5 linked regions of the Danio rerio genome follow. The protein of the gene in region 5 interacts with the protein of the main gene of each other region in a biochemical or structural test. Links are inferred from orthologs where the notes say so. Each region holds a gene or a part of one and is shown on either strand. Other genes may lie near its edges.

Region 1 (3,537 bases), on a different chromosome or scaffold from region 5:
TTATTGCTTTCATATATATTTGGGAGTCACGACCAAAACAACAAAGGATTCAAAGAAAAATATACTTTTTAGAAATTTTATTGAGCAGTAATTTAGAATATTGATTTTCATTGCTGACTTTATTGTTTAATGTTTTTTTATGTTTTAGTATTTTCTTCATCACAGAATCGTTTATTTAATCAGTGTAGTAGTTTGGAAAGACACAAGGCTTGAGTAAATAATGTGAGAAGCCTAATTTGTTATGTGATCTATGTCAGATATTACACCATGTTGTGTTTTATTTTGAAGTGGTCCTAATTGGAGACTCTGGTGTGGGGAAGAGTAACCTGCTGTCTCGTTTCACTCGCAATGAATTCAACCTCGAGAGCAAAAGCACTATTGGAGTGGAGTTCGCCACACGTAGCATTCAGGTGGATGGAAAGACCGTCAAGGCTCAGATCTGGGACACGGCAGGACAGGAGCGCTACCGAGCCATCACTTCAGCGTAAGACTTATTACAGATTCCAGTTTTAAAGTTTAACTGCCTGTTCATAGCAAAGATCTCTATAGAAGTTATTTTAATCTTGTGATATTCCTCCAAAACACAACTTAAACACAATGGCAAAGACAAACAATATTGTACACTGATATAGTTAAGCATATTTGAGACTATAGATTAATTAACACCTTTTTTTTTGACGTTACTGTGCAGAATGACACTTGTGCATTATCGTTGTGTAAGCATTTATTTCATGCATCATAAAACAGAAAAAAGAGGCTCTGGAGGGTACATCTTTGAGTTTTTGAGCAAAAATGTTTAAAATCCTTTACATAAAAAGCAGTTAACAGGCTTAACCCTAGGAATACTGGTGAGGCCAATTTTTTTAAGGTACATTAATTAATATGTTATTCATACTCCAAACAAAATTCATATATAGCCCTTTTATTTTCCATCTTCATTTGATTTGCTGGCTAACAGGTATTACCGTGGAGCTGTGGGGGCCCTCCTAGTGTATGACATCGCCAAGCATCTGACCTATGAGAATGTGGAACGCTGGCTTAAGGAGCTCCGAGACCACGCAGACAGCAACATTGTCATCATGCTGGTGGGCAATAAAAGTGACTTGCGTCACCTTCGGGCTGTGCCCACTGACGAAGCACGTGCATTTGCAGGTTAGAGGTGAACCATTAACTTCTGATAGTGCTGCTTGTGTGTATTGCTGAGGCATTAATCCATACTCTTCCACTTTTTTGCAACCATATTTGCAGAGAAAAACGGTCTGTCCTTCCTAGAGACCTCAGCTTTGGATTCCACCAATGTAGAGACTGCTTTTCAGACCATCCTGACTGGTGAGTGTTCTTTCCAAAAACCTTTTTCAGCAGATACTTATCAGTGTGCAAGGTTAAGGATGGTAAACTTTTGTTTTTGTAATGGCAGCATTTTTCTTGAAGAAATACAGGCTTGAGGAAATGACTGTGTTAGTCTAAACTGGGAGAAAAAGAGATGGTAAATGATTGGCCGAAGGCCATATCCTTATGAATGACTCATCAAAAGCCCTGCCTTGGTCGGGTAGGTTTCTCTGGCCTGACGTGACTGCCATAGAGAGTTTCTGTCGTCTTTTGCTCCTCTGTTCAGCTCCTGGCATCTGCAGAGGAAGAACAAATAATAAATGTTTCAGAGGCATTGCTGTCAGTTGCGATGCTGTAATTGCATCGGCCCTGACATCCAGTAATAACAGCACGGATGTATGGCAAAACAAAGTTCATATACAAGTTTTTGATTGTCTTTCTGTCCTGCAGAAATCTACCGAATCGTATCCCAAAAGCAGATGTCTGACCGCCGAGACAATGACATGTCACCTAGCAACAATGTGGTGTCCATCCAGGTGCAACCTACTGAGAATAAACCAAAGATGCAGTGCTGCCAGAGCATCTAGCGACTCCTGTACCGAATCCACCCCCCCCCCCCCCAAATCCCCCACACGCCCACCTGCAACACCCCCTCCTCCCCTCCTCTTCAAGACTGCTTTGGGTCTGAGATGCAGCTGCACAACTAGGCTTGAGCACAGAGGCCGGTTCCAAAGCTGAGTCTCAAAGGGTCACCACCTGCAGTCTGGACTAAGCTTGTTGTTTTTTTTGGTTGTTTTTTTTTTTCGGTTGGTTTTCTCCTTCCTGCCATGGTAGGCTTTTATATTGCAGAATTTTAATAATCATTTGTGCCGATCTTCACTGAAATGTCTTAATATATAATTTCATTCGCAAACGTGTGAGGTTCACTCATGTATGTCTTTAGTAGCAGCCCCCTCGTCACTGTCGTGTCTGGGGTGGAGGGGAGAAACGTGCAGTATTGGAGGTTTTGCTATATTTAATGTTGTGATTGTAGAAAGATGATGTACCTGATAGATGTTAGATGATGATTAGGGCCCAAAGACCACAGTCTTCACCTTTTTTGTCCATCTTCCAAGTATGGTTTACATTCGCATTCCCACTTCCTTCATGCATTCGGCACGGGGCGGCATTGAATTTCACCATCAGGCACGTAGCTTCTGCGCTCTTTTCTCTTGGCCATCATGTGCTTCTTTTGCATTGAGGTAGATTAGTGGTTTTAGTGCCTTTTTTGATGAACGTCACGTGCGGATGCTTTCATGCATGTGCTTTACTGCTGTCCGTGCCGGTGCTGCGAGGCCTTCATCACACGCTCGAATATAGTCTTATAGACCTTCTCTTTCGCTGTCACCAGCCCTTTCAGCTGTAGTCTTGGAGAAGCTTCAGTTTCTAATAAACAAAAACTGATGTCATAATTCATGAAGAGGGGAATGTTGTATTTGAAACACTACCACAAATGTTTTCAGTGTGAAATGAGGGAAAAGAGACTTCCTCTACATGTAACATGTTCATAACCGCAAACACGTCATGATTTTGCAGGTCACACTCTGGCATTAAAGTCATGGTTCACCTAAAAATTGAAATTCTGCTGTTTGTTTACTGACTATATTTCAGCAGTAGAATGTCAGAACAGATCTTTTTTAAGTGGAAACTACAGCTTAGTCTTTTAAAAGAACAAAATAAATACCTTTGGCTCCTGATTTCCTGAGCAAACTAAATGTCGAGTGAAAGTATGATCCACCAAAACAAAGGTTTCAGCTAAAAATCTACTTTAATTATCTACCAAAGGTAAAAAGTCAGGTAAATCAGCAGCGAATGTTCAGTTTTAGTTGAACTATCCTTGAGAGTCAGAACAAGAAAACACAAAACAGCGGCCAGTCGATGGCCACATCACATGAGAGCACTCTAGGGAATAGACTGGATACTTTCTTTCTTTATTTTTTTGCACTGAATGTAAAATATATCCCGATTAGATTTTTTTTCCCTCCCGCCACTACAGTAGTAATGACCTTAAGACGTGTAACTTATATTTATTCTGTGGTAGTCATTTAAATCCAGTTGTTAGCCTTCAATCTGGAAGCGATGGGACTCGTTAAGATCATTTCTGAATGTATTATGTGTTTTAGCCTACACTATGTCTTCGTCTTGATTCCAGCAGATGGGGCAAAACCA
Region 2 (3,500 bases), on a different chromosome or scaffold from region 5:
TTGATATGATGACAGTACATAATATTTTACTAGACATTTCTCAAGATTAGTATTCACCTTAAAGTGACATTAAAAGGCTTAACTAGGTTAGATTTAGGCAAGTCAGGTTAATTATGCAAATCATTGTATTAGGATGGTTTGTTCTGTAACAATCAAAAATTAATAATGCTTAAGGAGGCTAATAATGCTGACCTTAATTGTTTTTTTGGTTTTTTTTATTAAAAACTGCTTTTATTCTAGCTGAAAAAAAAAGACTTTCTCTAGAAAAAAAAGATCTTAAAGGAAATACTGTGAAAAATTTCTTGCTCTGTTAAACATCATTTGGGAAATAATTAATAATGAAATGAAATTTTAACTTTATGCAGTAAATAACTGTACTGACATTTTGTGTTGTTCGAATAAAACCCTTAAAATGACATTACCTCATCATTGAGCCAGCTGCCCTCTTGTAGTGTTGCCAGATCTCTCTGTGTGATACGCAGTTTGAAAGCACTGCACAAAACCAGGTTTGGATCACTCTGAGCAAGAGCAGCACTCACTTCCTGCTGCATCTCCTGTTACAGGACACAAAGAGAACACTGTGACTCAAACCACAAGGAAAACAACCAAGCTGACAACTAATGCATGAGTGAAAACAAATACACTGTATTACAACAACAATAACAACAAAAAAGGTTTACATTACAATATTTCTCTTGTTAAGGAGTTCGCTTTAGTGATATCAACGTTTAATTAAATCATTAGTTTATCAAGAGTATTTTCATAGAAAAAATTATTTGTAAAATTCTTCGAAATTAAGGGCGCACTCACACTAGGTTAACCGAAACATTCCCGGGCACGTTTCCCGGTTTGATTGAAAAGTTTGAGTGCTCTGAATCGGGCCCAGGTGCAGTTCAGTTGGCTGGCTGTGGCCTGGTTAAAGGAGGTGTGCCAGAGCGTGGTTCAGTTGTGCTCAGGCACGGTAGGCTTGTAGTGTGAGCGTAAAACTGAAGACACAACTTCACTTTTCATATGGATTTATTAATCATTCTTACTTTTCAATGAACGCAAACTGTCCTAGTTTCTCAAAGATGCAAACCCCTCTTGCTGCACCTTCAGGAAACCTCTTAATACATGATGCACGAGGAAATTTATGCTAATTTATGAGCGTCAAAAGTGGTGAATCTGTTCTGCATTATATAACTAAAGCAATGTCCACTGTGCTGAGCGAGAGCGCTTTCATTCCTGTTAAACTGAACAGTCGTATCATCGATGTTGTAAGCGTGCTCCGGCTTGAAATGTAATGCAGTGTGAGTGCAGGCAGTCATGACTTTTGACAGTAAAAGTCATGACTTTTCAGTGTCAATGCAACTGCTTATATCTGTAATAAGTGGATGTGATTAAAAAAAAAAATTTAAAATGAGCACAAAACAGCCCAATTTGAATTTTTAGCAATTAAAGTTTAGAGCAACAGGTTTGAAATATTTTCCAGTAATAAAAAAATGTTTTCATGCAAGTATCTTGAAAATAAAAGTAGAATTAACCCACTAAAACATCAATCTGAGAGAGACTGAGGTGACCGTAACAACCTTGGTCAGTCTGGGAAACTCCTCTTCACCACGCCTCACTGCATCTGTAATCACTTCAGATCTGGAAGGTATCAGAAGTCCAACAGCAGAATCCTTGTCCTTCAGATTTAACCTGGCTTCAACCTCAGCTGACAGATCAACATCTACAGCCTGAAGAGAAGGTGAGAAAGAAGGTGTTAGAGGGAGAAAAAGACACTACAAGGAGCCATTATTGCATTATGTTGCTTTAAAATGTGGTCAAAATACAGCTACACTAGGCCTGTCACGATACCTATTTTTTGTCGAATGATACATTGCACCAAAATATATCGCGATAAACAATATTAATGTAATTTTAAGACATTTTTGCAGCTCGTTATACAATGCCAAAATGACAATATAATAGCATCATTACGCAAGAATACTCTCCCAAAGAATACATCATATTTTATTCCTAAAAATATTTTAATTAGTCATTTTAACAATTTAATAATTAGGCATTGGAATCAGAATGTAAAAACGCATAATCCTAAATAATCAATAATAAAAAGTGCAAGGTAAAAAGTACCAGATGCTGCGATCAATTGTCAGACACCCACATGAAAATGAACTAAAGTCATTTACAGTAAATACTATACTGTTTTTTTTAACCACACTGACACCTCCAATAGATATAGAGATCATGTCCATGTGTTGTGCGATAACTTGATGTATTGATTATTGTGACAGGCCTAAGATACACAGAAAACAATAAATAATTTAAAAAAGAAAATTACGTTATTATTAGTCTGCAAAATAATAATTTCAGTCAGTGTAAAGCAGAAGATGCTGAGACTTCATTTCAGTATGTACTTCCAACTGTAACAAAATATTGAGTAGGGGGTGGGGCTTTCATTTTGCACATCACTCCCTCATAGCAAACTAATGGTAAAAGGGGTGTGGTTAAGGATATTAATATACAGTTGCTATGGAAACCCTCCTACTGACCTCAACAGAAGGATCACCACTCCAAAGGTAAGAGCAAATGGTCAAACTTTGATTGATTTAATAAAACTAACTTTTTTTCAGTAGATTAACTTGCACAGATTAATTGTTCACTTTAAGAGTAACAAACGTGAGCTAGCAAAATAAACATTGTACATTTTGATTTCACATGACACTTTACAGCACATGAAGCAAGCACTTACGGTTTTTCGTGTAGTTTGATTATCCAAGGCTCCTTCCTTGACATCACTTCCTGTTGTGCTTCGATGACCATCCACTGTTCTGTCACAGTTGAAAAATAAACAGAAATGAATCTTTCTGCATTCAGCAAACGCATATAAGGATTATGTGGCATGTTGAAGTATTACCTGTCTTTAATCTGCGTCAGGGATAGTGGATCCCGCCACATAGAAATGTTAGGGATGACTTAAGGCAATTAGGCAAACAGAAAATGTAAGTATAATGGAACTCTTCATCAAACACTTATGAAAAAATGTGAAGTTCTAATAACAGTGAAGATTAATTTAAATAAACTCTCACCTCTTACTGGCGCAGGTCTGTTCAAGTCAGTAGTGCGACAGATGGAGGTGTGTCCACTGACCTTGTGTCCATCAATGGGGAAAGCGGTGCTAAAAGATTTGATTGAAAACAGTGTTAACTTGCACCAGCTAAGCTGTGGTGATTTAAAAACATATATAATTTATGTGCTTACATGGAAGGCTTTATCCGTCCAAACGGCAATGGTTTGCTCTTTGAATATTTTTCAGATGCCATCTCCACTAGCTTCCTATAATGCTCTCGATCACTCTCTCTCAATGCCTAATCAAAAGAAAGATGCTCAGGAAGCCATGTATTTAAAAAAAGGTACTAAGTTACAACATTACAACTCAGTTTGCTAACCTCCTCCACGGTCAGGCAAGGTTTGGGTGTGCGGCTTGGGAGCTCCATCTCAGCCTGTCTTGAATTTAG
Region 3 (3,500 bases), on a different chromosome or scaffold from region 5:
TAATTAAACAATCAATTTTGGGTAACACTTTATTTTGATGGTCCATTTGAGTATTAGTAGACTGTTTGCTTATTGTCTGTTGATACTGCTCCTTTAACAGACATTTAATTGACTATAAGAAACTTTGCAAGTACATGTCAACTTACACTAACCCTAACCCCAACCCAACAGTCTACTTATAATCTAATGAGAATTAGTTGCAATGTAACTTAAATTCAACAAACGGACCATTAAAATATAGTGTTACCTAATTTTGTTCAAGTGGCAAACTTTATAATTTATTGTGACCTAAGGGTTTAAATTGGCTTTAAATCTTAGTCACAGGCCTAAAAACACATCCAAGTAAGTCAATCTTTCACACTGTTAGATTATGGTTAAACTTAACAATGACTCCACAAATCATGTCTTCTGAATTGTGGTTTCTGGTTAATTATGATCCCAACTTGACAGTGCAGATCCTGCGATTGGACCATTGAAGAATCGCAAGTTGCGATATCAAAGCAGAAACGATATATTGTGCAGCCCTAGTATGTAGTGACGCTGATGATTTCCATTATTGTAGATGTTTTTTTCATATAGACCTTTATTTTTTGACAGTAATGGAAACAAAGTTGTTCAGCTGATGAAGCGTCTTTCTATAAAAAAGGAATTTCTTTGAACCTATAAAATCTATGACTGTAAATCTATGCCTTACAGCCTCATTTTTATCCATGCCAAATTGAATGTGTTAAAGTGGGGTTTCAGCGTGACAGACATAAACATTTTATTAGAAATTCTGATCTAAAAAACAGACCCATCTCAAACAAAGCAAGACTAACCTCATTCTAAATGCTTCTTTTTTCTTCCAGTACTTTATGTCTTTTCAGTCCATCCATCCTATTAAAAAGATCATGAAATCTTCCACTTCCTGGTCAAACTGACCACAGACGACCCTCTGAGGTTTATCGTGTGTTCCTGTCATCTTCAACCCACTCCTGCTATGCAGCCATGAGCTCTACGCTATGGAGCCAGGAGAAGCCAGGGGGCAGTTTCCGGGACGATTGGCGTTTCTACATTGTGGTGAAGGAATGCACGGTGGAAAGGCCAGGCCAGAAGACTCTGCGCATCCCACGGGGCAGCCTAGGTCAGGCCTGCCAGGAGCGCAACAGCCTCGGACGCACAATCCCAGCCAGCAAAGGTAAACGTAGCCTACGCATCCTGGACCAGACCAATGTAGTGGTGAGCGTGGATGAACGGGATGTGATGGAGCTCGAGGAGAAGCTGGCGGAGCTACTGTTCCCTATCACCAACTGTGAAGAGCGTTACAGCCTGCTGTGTAACAGGTCGCGTCTGGACAGGGCCCGCGACATCAACTGTGGGTCAAAAGTTCGAGTGCAGCTTAGGTCAGGCGATGAACCTCTCCCAGGCGTTGTCCGCTTTAAAGGAGCTTTGCTGCCTGATCGAGCACTGAGTGGGATCTGGTTTGGTGTCGAACTGCTGGTGAGTGAAACTGTTTGTCATGTTTGATGGTAAATATTTGGGATTGGGCTCACCTTTGATCTTAAAGTGTGTGATCTAGGGCTGGGTGATATTGCAAAAAAAAAATCATAATATCATGTTTCATATCATTCGATATCGATAATTATTGAATATTTTTCAACAATACATTCAGGAATATTCTATTTTTTTATTTAACCACTTTATTATAATTTACCAACATTACCAAGGCAAATAGTTTTAAGCAAAGTGTGTTCAATGGTAAAGGTAGATCAACATCTGTAAGTTGTGAATAATAATGATAGGGTAAACCTCAAACTCTGTAAACAAAACAAATTATGAAAATCAAATCCGAGCTTTCAAGTAAAGAAACTAACCATCATTATTCAAATACATATTGCAACATTTCACATTGTGAAGTTGAATGATCACAATACCCACTATGCTAAAAAAAATCTTTCAGATGGGGAGCTAGTGGCTGGGATGCACAAGAAAAAAAAAAGCCACTTTGGATATATTTTAATTTTCTTTTTTATTTCAATCTCCTCACTGCTGCTATACAGCACTCATTTTCGCATGTGTTGTTATTCTGACCTGAAGTGACAAGCCTGAGAGGATGCTTCACTATTTTCTACGGCGTCTCTCATAACAAGGTGACCATTTTCTCAGAGAATGACAAACAAAGAACATTGCTGCCACTCCAATACAAGTTAAGAAAAATAAACAGCACTGCAGTGTTTGGGTGCGGTGTGTTTGTCTCAGGTAATTAGTCTGCTTTTACTAAAATGTGTATATTTCATCCAAAGTGTGAAGCAGAATGGTTAGTTCTAATCGCGGTGCGCTCACGGCATTCTGAAAAGTTCAGATGTTTTTCAATTAGGTGTACCTGGAAAATGTCTCTCTCCCTGTTAAATTTGATCTAATCCGTGTCCTGAAACACACCTCCTCTCCAGCTTTCACTTCTCATACTGACGGAGGGAACGATTTGTTTGTGAATGAATCTCTGTTATGAACGACTCGTTTACTAGCCGACAATAATACAAGTTTCTGGCATCGCAGCATCTTGTTGTCATATTTCTTTTGCATTGTTTGCTGATTTTATTCAACAAAGCTAGCATAAGCCGAGTATTTAGTGCGAATTGGAGCTACTTTGCCTTATGATGAATGCAATAAGTGACTGTGAAATGTTCTGGCTTTGTGCTTTGTTTTCTTTGTTTGCTCTTTACTACACTCGTAGACAGCGCTAAAGTCCCGCATCTTCACGTAATAATACTGTCTTGTCTAGTGCGGTTGAATGACACTTGTCCTGGGAGCACTGTACCAATGTGGCGGCGCTATAGACGCATGCTCAGGGTCCCTATGCGATATCTAGTGTATATATCTATGTCACAAATTGAGGAGCGGGGAAAGGAGGCGGGGTGGAGCGACAACACGGGGAATCCTTCACAAACTGAGGAGCAATCACAAACCGAAAGCAGCGAGAGTGTCAAAGTAGTCAGAAGTCATTTATTTTTTAATGAGAACCGGCGCCGAGAAACATCAGCGCGTCTTCATTGGCTATGACGCGGTTCGGCGGCAAGCAATCAGAATGAAGTATTCCAACGCTTGAGAGGAGTTCAGAGAACACAGACCTGTGAACTTTGGTTCCCACCACAGTTGTTCCCAAGAGTTTGATTATTGTGGTTCCTGGATTTTCAATTATTGAAAATCGCAACGACGTGGGGCCTCCTAATCACGCGGGGCCCTCCTGCGGGCCCGTCCGCTACGCCACTGCATGAATCAGATATGGGTCACAATTTAAAGAATGTGTAAATGGACAGGCAAAAAAATCAGATATAGACAACAAATTAGAATTTGGCATCAAGACCTGACAGTGTAAACGTGGCCTTGGATTGGGAGATTCTGTAGAGCATAACATATAATAAACAATCCGCAAGCTTTCATAAATACAATAAAGAAAGAGATACAGCTGAAATTAGCAGTATTTTATTGTTTCCGAGTACTCAAACAATATTTAGGTACAG
Region 4 (3,500 bases), on a different chromosome or scaffold from region 5:
CTAATAACATATTACTTAAGTTATCTGGAATGACAAAGAAAGCGTTCTTGCAGGACTCCCAGAGTTCATCAAGAATCTTTGGATTCATCTTCAGTGCCGCCTCCTTCATCTAACCCCAGACATGCTCAATAATGTTCATGTCTGGTGACTGGGCTGGCCAATACTTGAGCACCTTGACCTTTGCTTTCAGGAACTTTGATGTGGAGGCTGAAGTATGAGAAGGAGCGCTATCCTGTTGAAGAATTTGCCCTTTCCTGTGGTTTGTAATGTAATGGGCAGCACAAATGTCTTGAAATGTTGCCATCCATTATACAGAACTCACGCACACCTCCATACTGAATGTAACCCCAAACTATGATTTTTCCTTCACCAAACTTGACTGATTTCTGTGAGAATCTTGGGTCCATGTGGGTTCCAATAGGTCTTCTGCAGTATTTGTGATGACTGGAATTCAGTTCAACAGATGATTTATAGAAAAAAAAAATCTACCTTCTGCCACTTTTCCAAATGATAAACTAGAAGTCAAGTTATTATTTGTTGCACTTACAACTGGGATCGATGACAAGACTTTTATCAGGTAGTGTATAGAACAAAAAAATATACACAAGAATTCTGAACTTGACTTCATTCAATGTTCAGACTTTTAAGCTAGAAATCTATGCAAATTAGCACATATTTAATTAAATTACACCTTGTTTGAACATTTAAACAACATTTTATGAAGCTATTCTTACTATAATCATTCAACTCAGGATGTATGGTGAGAATTAGTTAACAGTTTTGTGCCCTTCACCTTCATTCTTTATCTTAATCAAACAAAATACCTCTTCAGTTGTTTTTGAGATTGTTGAGCTCACGGAGTCAGGTGGTGGAGGGCTAGGCCTGGGTAAAGGCCTGATCTCTGGAAACATAAAAGAGCCACTTTTAGCACAGATGTTATGATAAGTGAGCAACTGTTAGGTAATAATCAAAGTCATGTTTTATGTTAACATAAGGACTGTAGTAAGAATAACATGTTACCGGGGACAGGGAGATGCTCTTTGATAAATGTGACTGTACTGGGTTGTTGCTCTTTATGATTCTGTGGAAATTGTCTACCTGTGCACATGCATAAAAAAAAGAGCATTGATGGATTTATTATCTGAAACTATTGACAGGCAGTGCTTGTACAAATCATAACACAAGTACAATAAAAGCATATTTTCTATGCCAACATTTTTTATTTCAAACTAACGTTGTAATATATATATATATATATATATATATATATATATATATATATATATATATATATATATATATATATATATATATATATATATATTTTTTTTTTTTTTTTTTAATCATGTTTTCCATAAAATACAAGATTTGTTTTTAACATTAATATTAATAAGTATTTTATTACTATATAAATACTATATACTACATACTATATAAATATATACTATATAAATATTATTTATCATGTATGATTTATTATTGAACAATAAATCATGAGATAAGTAAATAAATATAAAAGTATTAAATATTATTAATAAATAAATATATTAAGTTTTATTGTTTCATATTTTTTGTAAGATCAGAGATATATATTTACATTACATTATATATATATATATTATATTATACATTTTTTATACATATATTTTAAGACAAAAATTATCTACAATCATTCATGATAGACAGATAACCCAATAACATGAATATCTAGCAAATGATGCCAGTAAGTCAAGTTTGTAGAATAATTTATGCTCCAACATATAAAGTCAATGAATGTGTTATTTGTTTAATTTTTTTTTAATCAGTGAATATGGATTTAAAAATCTACATTTTTTTAATTGATGTGACAAGCCAGTGTATAAATACATATACTGTTAGTATATTTATTTTCATAATATAGGTATCAGTATTGATTGCTGAAATGCCTTTCTACAGATTTGAGTTCAGATTTACAGGCAGAACAAGTCAATTCATTTTGATGAAAGTTAACAACAAACAGGTTTTAAAATATACATTGACGGATCACAAGCAGTAAACAAGTAAACCAAATAAGAACGTGGGAAATATAAGCACAACTGAGAAATTTCACATCTGACTGACAGCATAGTTCTTTCTTGAACCATGGAATGTGAAACTTTAGATTATAAAGCGAGTAACGTGATAACCACAAAACCCAACTGATAACCTGCTTGGCACATAGATGTGGTAAAAAAATCAAAAAAAGGAAGAAGAAAAAAAACCTACATAGTTGTGCTTTGAGAATGATATCACGAGCTCTGAACCACTGGAGTCCCTCAAGAATCTTCAGCAGTGCTCCAACTGTCCCATTGCGACAACCCCAATTGTGCATGAGGTTACTCGTCCGTCGAGGGCTTTGCTCCAAAAGGCGTAGTTCAGTCTGATCTGATATGATTTGTGAAGCTGCAAGGACATAAAATACTTTAATTGGCAAGCAAAATGAGAGTGTTATGAAATTGAATGGGAATTCTATCCAAAACTGAATAGCTAATTTAGTTCTTCAAACAAGTTCAGATTAAAATATCTGGATGAACTGATCTGAGATTACTGCGTTCTTGTTGTGAAGGACTTCATTTATTATTTATCCTCAAAATCATGATCAACAAAACAACGATTGACTGGCAGCAAGACAGCTGTGAAAGGACATCATCTGATTAATATAACGGGTGTCATGGTGGCTCAGTGGTAGCACTGTCGCCTCACAGCAAGAAGGTCACTGGTTCGAGTTCTGGCTGGATCAGTTGGCATTTCGGAGTGGAGTTTGCATGTTCTCCCCATGTTCGCGTGGGTTTCCTCTGGGTGCTCCAGTTTCCCTCACAGTTAAAAGACCTGCATAAATAAATAAACTAAATTGGCCATAGTGTGCGAGTGTGAATGTGAGAGTGTATGGGTGTTTCCCAGTGCTGGGTTATGGCTGGAAGGGCATCCGCTGTGTAGAACATATGGTAGAGAAGTTGGCGTTTCATTCCACTGTGGCAACCCCTGATGAATAAATGGACTAAGCCGAAGGAAATGAATGAATGAATGAATAAATGATTCATATTCTAGCCATGTGAGCAAAATGACATCGAATTGGTAGTAACTGAAAAGGTTTGTTAAATGATATGCTATAATATTTCACATTTGTTGCCGGTATGGCTGCACAATAATGGAAAAATTTACAATGTTGTTGAGTGCTAACATTTTTTTTAAAGATATAACTAACTTGCAATATGCTATTTTATCAGCAACCTTTTTTAAACACTTTAATATGTAATGATCATACTAAAATAAACAGGTAATGAGCAATTCCATGCAAATGTCAACCTTGCCATGAAAAAAATTACGTTTTCGCCAAAATAGCGAAACTGTTTCTGGTTAATGTATCTATCAGTGTTTTCAAACTATTATATTTGATTTACCAAAGTCACACAAGTGGCAATTTTACATCTGTCATATCCATAACAGAGAGATGTCACATCCATAACAAAGCTTTTTCATCA
Region 5 (3,942 bases):
GCCCTGTGAACTGGCCATGAGTGAGACTTGACCTTCTGAACCTGCGGTCTCTTCTCCGTTCAACTCATATTGCAGAGTGCAGCCACCGGACGGCTGCGGCTGGACCATGATCCTGACAGACACAACAAAAGACCGCATTGATCATCTACAGCTCTTAATCACCAAGACTACTGCAGTGCTTTAAGATTCTTGGATGAAAATATTCAGATAAATTTAGAATAATTTCTGCGGTGGATAAATAATAATGGTGATAACACTTTACAATCAGGGTCCCATTTGTTCATGCTTTAACTAGCAATGAGTAATACGTTTATTATTACTATTTAGGAATCATTGTAAAAATAGTTTTAAAAAGTTTTCTGAAAAGAAATTAATGGTGTACGCATTTCAATTGTGTATTTCAAATCATTGAAAACATGTAGTACACTTTATATCAATTATGACCTGTATTTGTGACTTTTGCAATTGAATTCATAAATATTTGTTATCTCTGTTTGGTCTAAAAATTTTACATTGCTTGCACGTAAACACAAAACTAAAACAAACAAGTAAATTGAAAAAGAAAAACTTGCTGCCTTAACTGTTTAAATGAAAATTAAATGAACTTTTGTAGTCATCTTAACTAAATTAAACTTAAATTAAAATCAATTAAACTGACTAAAATGTATAAAAATAAACTTTGTATAAGTTACAATATAATTGAAAGCTGACTAACTAATTAAAATAAAAGCAACATAAAAATATATGTTGCCTTGACTTTGTTATTACATTTTTTACAGTGTAAGCAGGCTAAACTTAACAGCTTAAATACAATCAATAAAACTAAAATGGAAACAAAACTCCATATATTAAAATGACATATGCACCACAAAATTATTTTATAATAACTTTACATTTAAAGTTCTATTAACTTATTTAAATTGTTAATAAAATAACAATTGTAAAACATACTAAAGTTGAATAATTATACAACTTGTAATGTTATTAAAATAGTTAATAGAATTAGTTAGAATATTAAGACAGTTAGCTCGAATCCATTGAATAATATTAAAGTGACATTTCACCCAAACCATTTCTTCACCCTCAAGTGTTTCTAAACTTTTATTAAAAACATTGACATTCCTAGTAGAAAAAGTGAAAGTATGTCAATGGCTGCTTTTCCCAGCATTCTTCAGTATATCAAACTCAAACAGATGTGAAACAAGTAGAGGGCGAGTAAGTAAATGTTTACAAAATGTTCATTTTTAAGTGAACTACCTTGATTTCACTAATTTATGTGTAAATGTTTTATAAATAAAGCCTAAAATTTCATTTAAAAAAATTCAGTTCTGCACAGGAAGTTTGGGCAGAAAAGAAATGGTTGTGCCCAACTAAGCCTGGTTTCTCTAAAGGATTTTTTATTTTTTTCATTCACTTAATTTATTTAGTAAAGTTTTGTTCCTCGTCATTGCTGCCACTGGCTTGCTTGGTTTGGGACTTGTGGAGCTGCGCATCAAAGGATTAGCTCTTCAGTGTTTGGACTTTCAGCCATGAAATTTAAACCACACCGAACTAAACTGAACCAACTCAGAAGACTGGACTGACAGTTTCCATTTACTAGAACTGCTATGTTAAACTACTTTGACACAATCTACATAGTAAACGCGCTATAGAAATTAATTGAATTGTATTCAGAGTAAGCTCATGTTATCTAATCCTAACAAATGGAACCATATTGTAAAATGTTACCAGTAACCACATTTTGACAATATGTAAATGATAATACCTGTACCTGTTCATGTTACTAGCTTTAACATGTAAAGCTATATCATTTTATACATGTCTCACGTTCAATTCTGCTTTTACTGTTTCACTTTTCAACAAGACACAGATAACTTATGAGTCATTCAATGACACTTTCGCCATATTAACGACCTCTAAAACATTTGAAAAGAAATATCAAATATCAAAGTTGAAAACAAAGTCGATGTCATGATATCTCGCTGTCAAAACAAAGATTATTTCACAAGTTAAAGACAAACGCGCGAGGTTTAAAAGACTGAGGTAAATTTGCACATTCATTCACTGATAACTTGTAACACTGTCCCCATATTGTTTACCACGCTACTTTGAATATTAAGTCTGAAATAGCATGTTAGTATGATTTAAAAACAACATTAACAGTTAGCACTATGTCATTGACTGTGTACAATGTTGTACTATGATCATCTTTGTCTACTTATTATGATTTTCCCTATTTAGAATTCGCAAAGAATACTTTTCTGAAATTATATTATTAAAGAGAAAGAACGAATATAAAAACAATTTTACCTCAATCCTCAAAGACACTTTAAGTCCAATACTGTGATTGAAATTAGCAGTTATCCGATATACGAGACTCGGTTTTGTTTTGTTTACAGGCTCGTGATGGACGCGCTCAGCTAACAACACAACTAGCTTTACCGCATTTAAACCAATAAACATTTAAAATCACACACTAACACGACTCACATTCATTACATACACATGAAGACATTGATAAACATATCGTATGATAAAATATGAGAGTAATCACTACCTTCTTTACGCCGTTAACAGTGTTTTGACTCTGCGCTAGCACAGATTCACTGTCTGTCGGTCTTCCGCCGAGGAAACACAGGCAGGTTTAAAGTCAGCCACGGACGCTCAGGTAGGCCAACATCTTCAACACCACCGAGCTGGAAAGTCTGAATCGAGAATTCGAGATTGATAAAGTATATCAAATGAAAACGTCTAGAAGAGTTCAGACAGGTGCCCACACTGTCGAGGAAATCCCCCGTGTACTTCCGCGCTGCGTGCTGTTTCCGGGTAGGGGAATTATGGGAAGACAAAAATGACAGCAAATAAGTTAGTCAAAATGAAGTTATTGAGCGATGCCTTCTTAAAATTAGGATTTAACTGTTTTCATGTCTTCAGGATATCCATATACGCTTACTTTTCTGAAAACCCATATGTTAATATATTTCACTTTTGGAAACCTTTATGTAGTTTTTTTTTTTTTTTTGCAAAAAAACAGTTGACAACTTTGTAGCAATATTTGTTTACAATACAGAATATGAATTACATTGTCAATGAAAAAGAGATACGAGAGAGTAAGAGAGAAGAAAAAAGAATAAAGAACATGATATAAACTTGAGGGTAAGACATTTAAGAAGCAATAACAGAACATAAATTAAAGTCATTACGAATTGAAATAGTTCTGTTTGTTTTTTTATTTTTAGAAAATTAAAATAAATGTATATAATGACTAAATTTTGCAAAAAAAAAAAGGAAAATATGGTTTAGTATTAGTAAATTAGCATTTGTGGATATGGAATTTACAAAGAAAATAAATTAAATTTATAACAAAACAAGCATTTCTCTTAGTAGAGGCAGATTCATAACAAAAAATAATTTCTTTAAAAGTAACAGAAACATTGTATTGTATATTATCATTAATAAATGAGCCAATATGTTCCCAAAATTGTAAAGCATAATTACACTCCCAAAATAAATGAAAAACTGTTTCTGTATAAAATTGACAAAATGAACATTTTACATCAATATTAGCATGAAACTTTTTCAAAAATAGTTTTATGGGATAAAATTTGTTGATCAATTTAAAAAAATTGTTGATTCAATTTATTTATCTTCATTGACCTTGTTGGTGAGAAAATATTTTTGATTAAGCTTTATGTAGGGTTGGGGATGTTTTCATCCACTTGTAAGGTCCAGCCAGTTGGTTCAATGACGGTATCCAATGGTGGATGAAGGTTCACTGCATGTTCGGTCTTTCCAGTGCACAATGTTGATTTATATTAAACTTAACTCATATCTGACTCCAATTTTAATATGAGGTGGTTTAGAATATTAATATATTTATCCTCGTTTTATCTGACTCCAATTATAAAACATTAAGAAGATTATGTCAATATGTAATTTAGA

What was found. The genes of interacting proteins can lie anywhere in the genome.
Region 1: the proteins of ikbkg (region 5) and rab11a are reported together in a solved structure, tested with the Homo sapiens proteins (2 studies listed by BioGRID, with this or other methods). The link is inferred for Danio rerio from reciprocal best matches to the Homo sapiens genes IKBKG and RAB11A.
Region 2: the proteins of ikbkg (region 5) and senp2 form a complex in vitro, tested with the Homo sapiens proteins (2 studies listed by BioGRID and IntAct, with this or other methods). The link is inferred for Danio rerio from reciprocal best matches to the Homo sapiens genes IKBKG and SENP2.
Region 3: the proteins of ikbkg (region 5) and cyld form a complex in vitro, tested with the Homo sapiens proteins (3 studies listed by BioGRID, with this or other methods). The link is inferred for Danio rerio from reciprocal best matches to the Homo sapiens genes IKBKG and CYLD.
Region 4: the proteins of ikbkg (region 5) and irak1 form a complex in vitro, tested with the Homo sapiens proteins (3 studies listed by BioGRID). The link is inferred for Danio rerio from reciprocal best matches to the Homo sapiens genes IKBKG and IRAK1.

The regions. Positions count from the first base shown.
Region 1 is NC_133193.1:20,520,465-20,524,001, forward strand, and holds the end of rab11a (ras-related protein Rab-11A), read left to right. Parts: intron 1-288; coding exon 289-484; intron 485-958; coding exon 959-1,152; intron 1,153-1,248; coding exon 1,249-1,329; intron 1,330-1,779; coding exon 1,780-1,916; 3' UTR 1,917-3,037; downstream 3,038-3,537. UniProt on the Homo sapiens protein: The small GTPases Rab are key regulators of intracellular membrane trafficking, from the formation of transport vesicles to their fusion with membranes.
Region 2 is NC_133181.1:12,367,035-12,370,534, reverse strand, and holds part of senp2 (sentrin-specific protease 2), read right to left. Parts: coding exon 3,432-3,500; intron 3,351-3,431; coding exon 3,244-3,350; intron 3,161-3,243; coding exon 3,072-3,160; intron 2,958-3,071; coding exon 2,900-2,957; intron 2,814-2,899; coding exon 2,735-2,813; intron 1,719-2,734; coding exon 1,569-1,718; intron 555-1,568; coding exon 423-554; intron 1-422. UniProt on the Homo sapiens protein: Protease that catalyzes two essential functions in the SUMO pathway.
Region 3 is NC_133182.1:37,753,204-37,756,703, reverse strand, and holds part of cyld (ubiquitin carboxyl-terminal hydrolase CYLD), read left to right. Parts: intron 1-848; 5' UTR 849-987; coding exon 988-1,479; intron 1,480-3,500. UniProt on the Homo sapiens protein: Deubiquitinase that specifically cleaves 'Lys-63'- and linear 'Met-1'-linked polyubiquitin chains and is involved in NF-kappa-B activation and TNF-alpha-induced necroptosis.
Region 4 is NC_133183.1:9,128,930-9,132,429, forward strand, and holds part of irak1 (interleukin-1 receptor-associated kinase 1), read right to left. Parts: intron 2,422-3,500; coding exon 2,241-2,421; intron 1,099-2,240; coding exon of another isoform or gene 1,095-1,098; coding exon 1,021-1,094; intron 902-1,020; coding exon 825-901; intron 1-824.
Region 5 is NC_133198.1:21,496,909-21,500,850, forward strand, and holds the start of ikbkg (NF-kappa-B essential modulator), read right to left. Parts: upstream 2,801-3,942; 5' UTR 2,558-2,800; intron 113-2,557; 5' UTR 109-112; coding exon 1-108. UniProt on the Homo sapiens protein: Regulatory subunit of the IKK core complex which phosphorylates inhibitors of NF-kappa-B thus leading to the dissociation of the inhibitor/NF-kappa-B complex and ultimately the degradation of the inhibitor.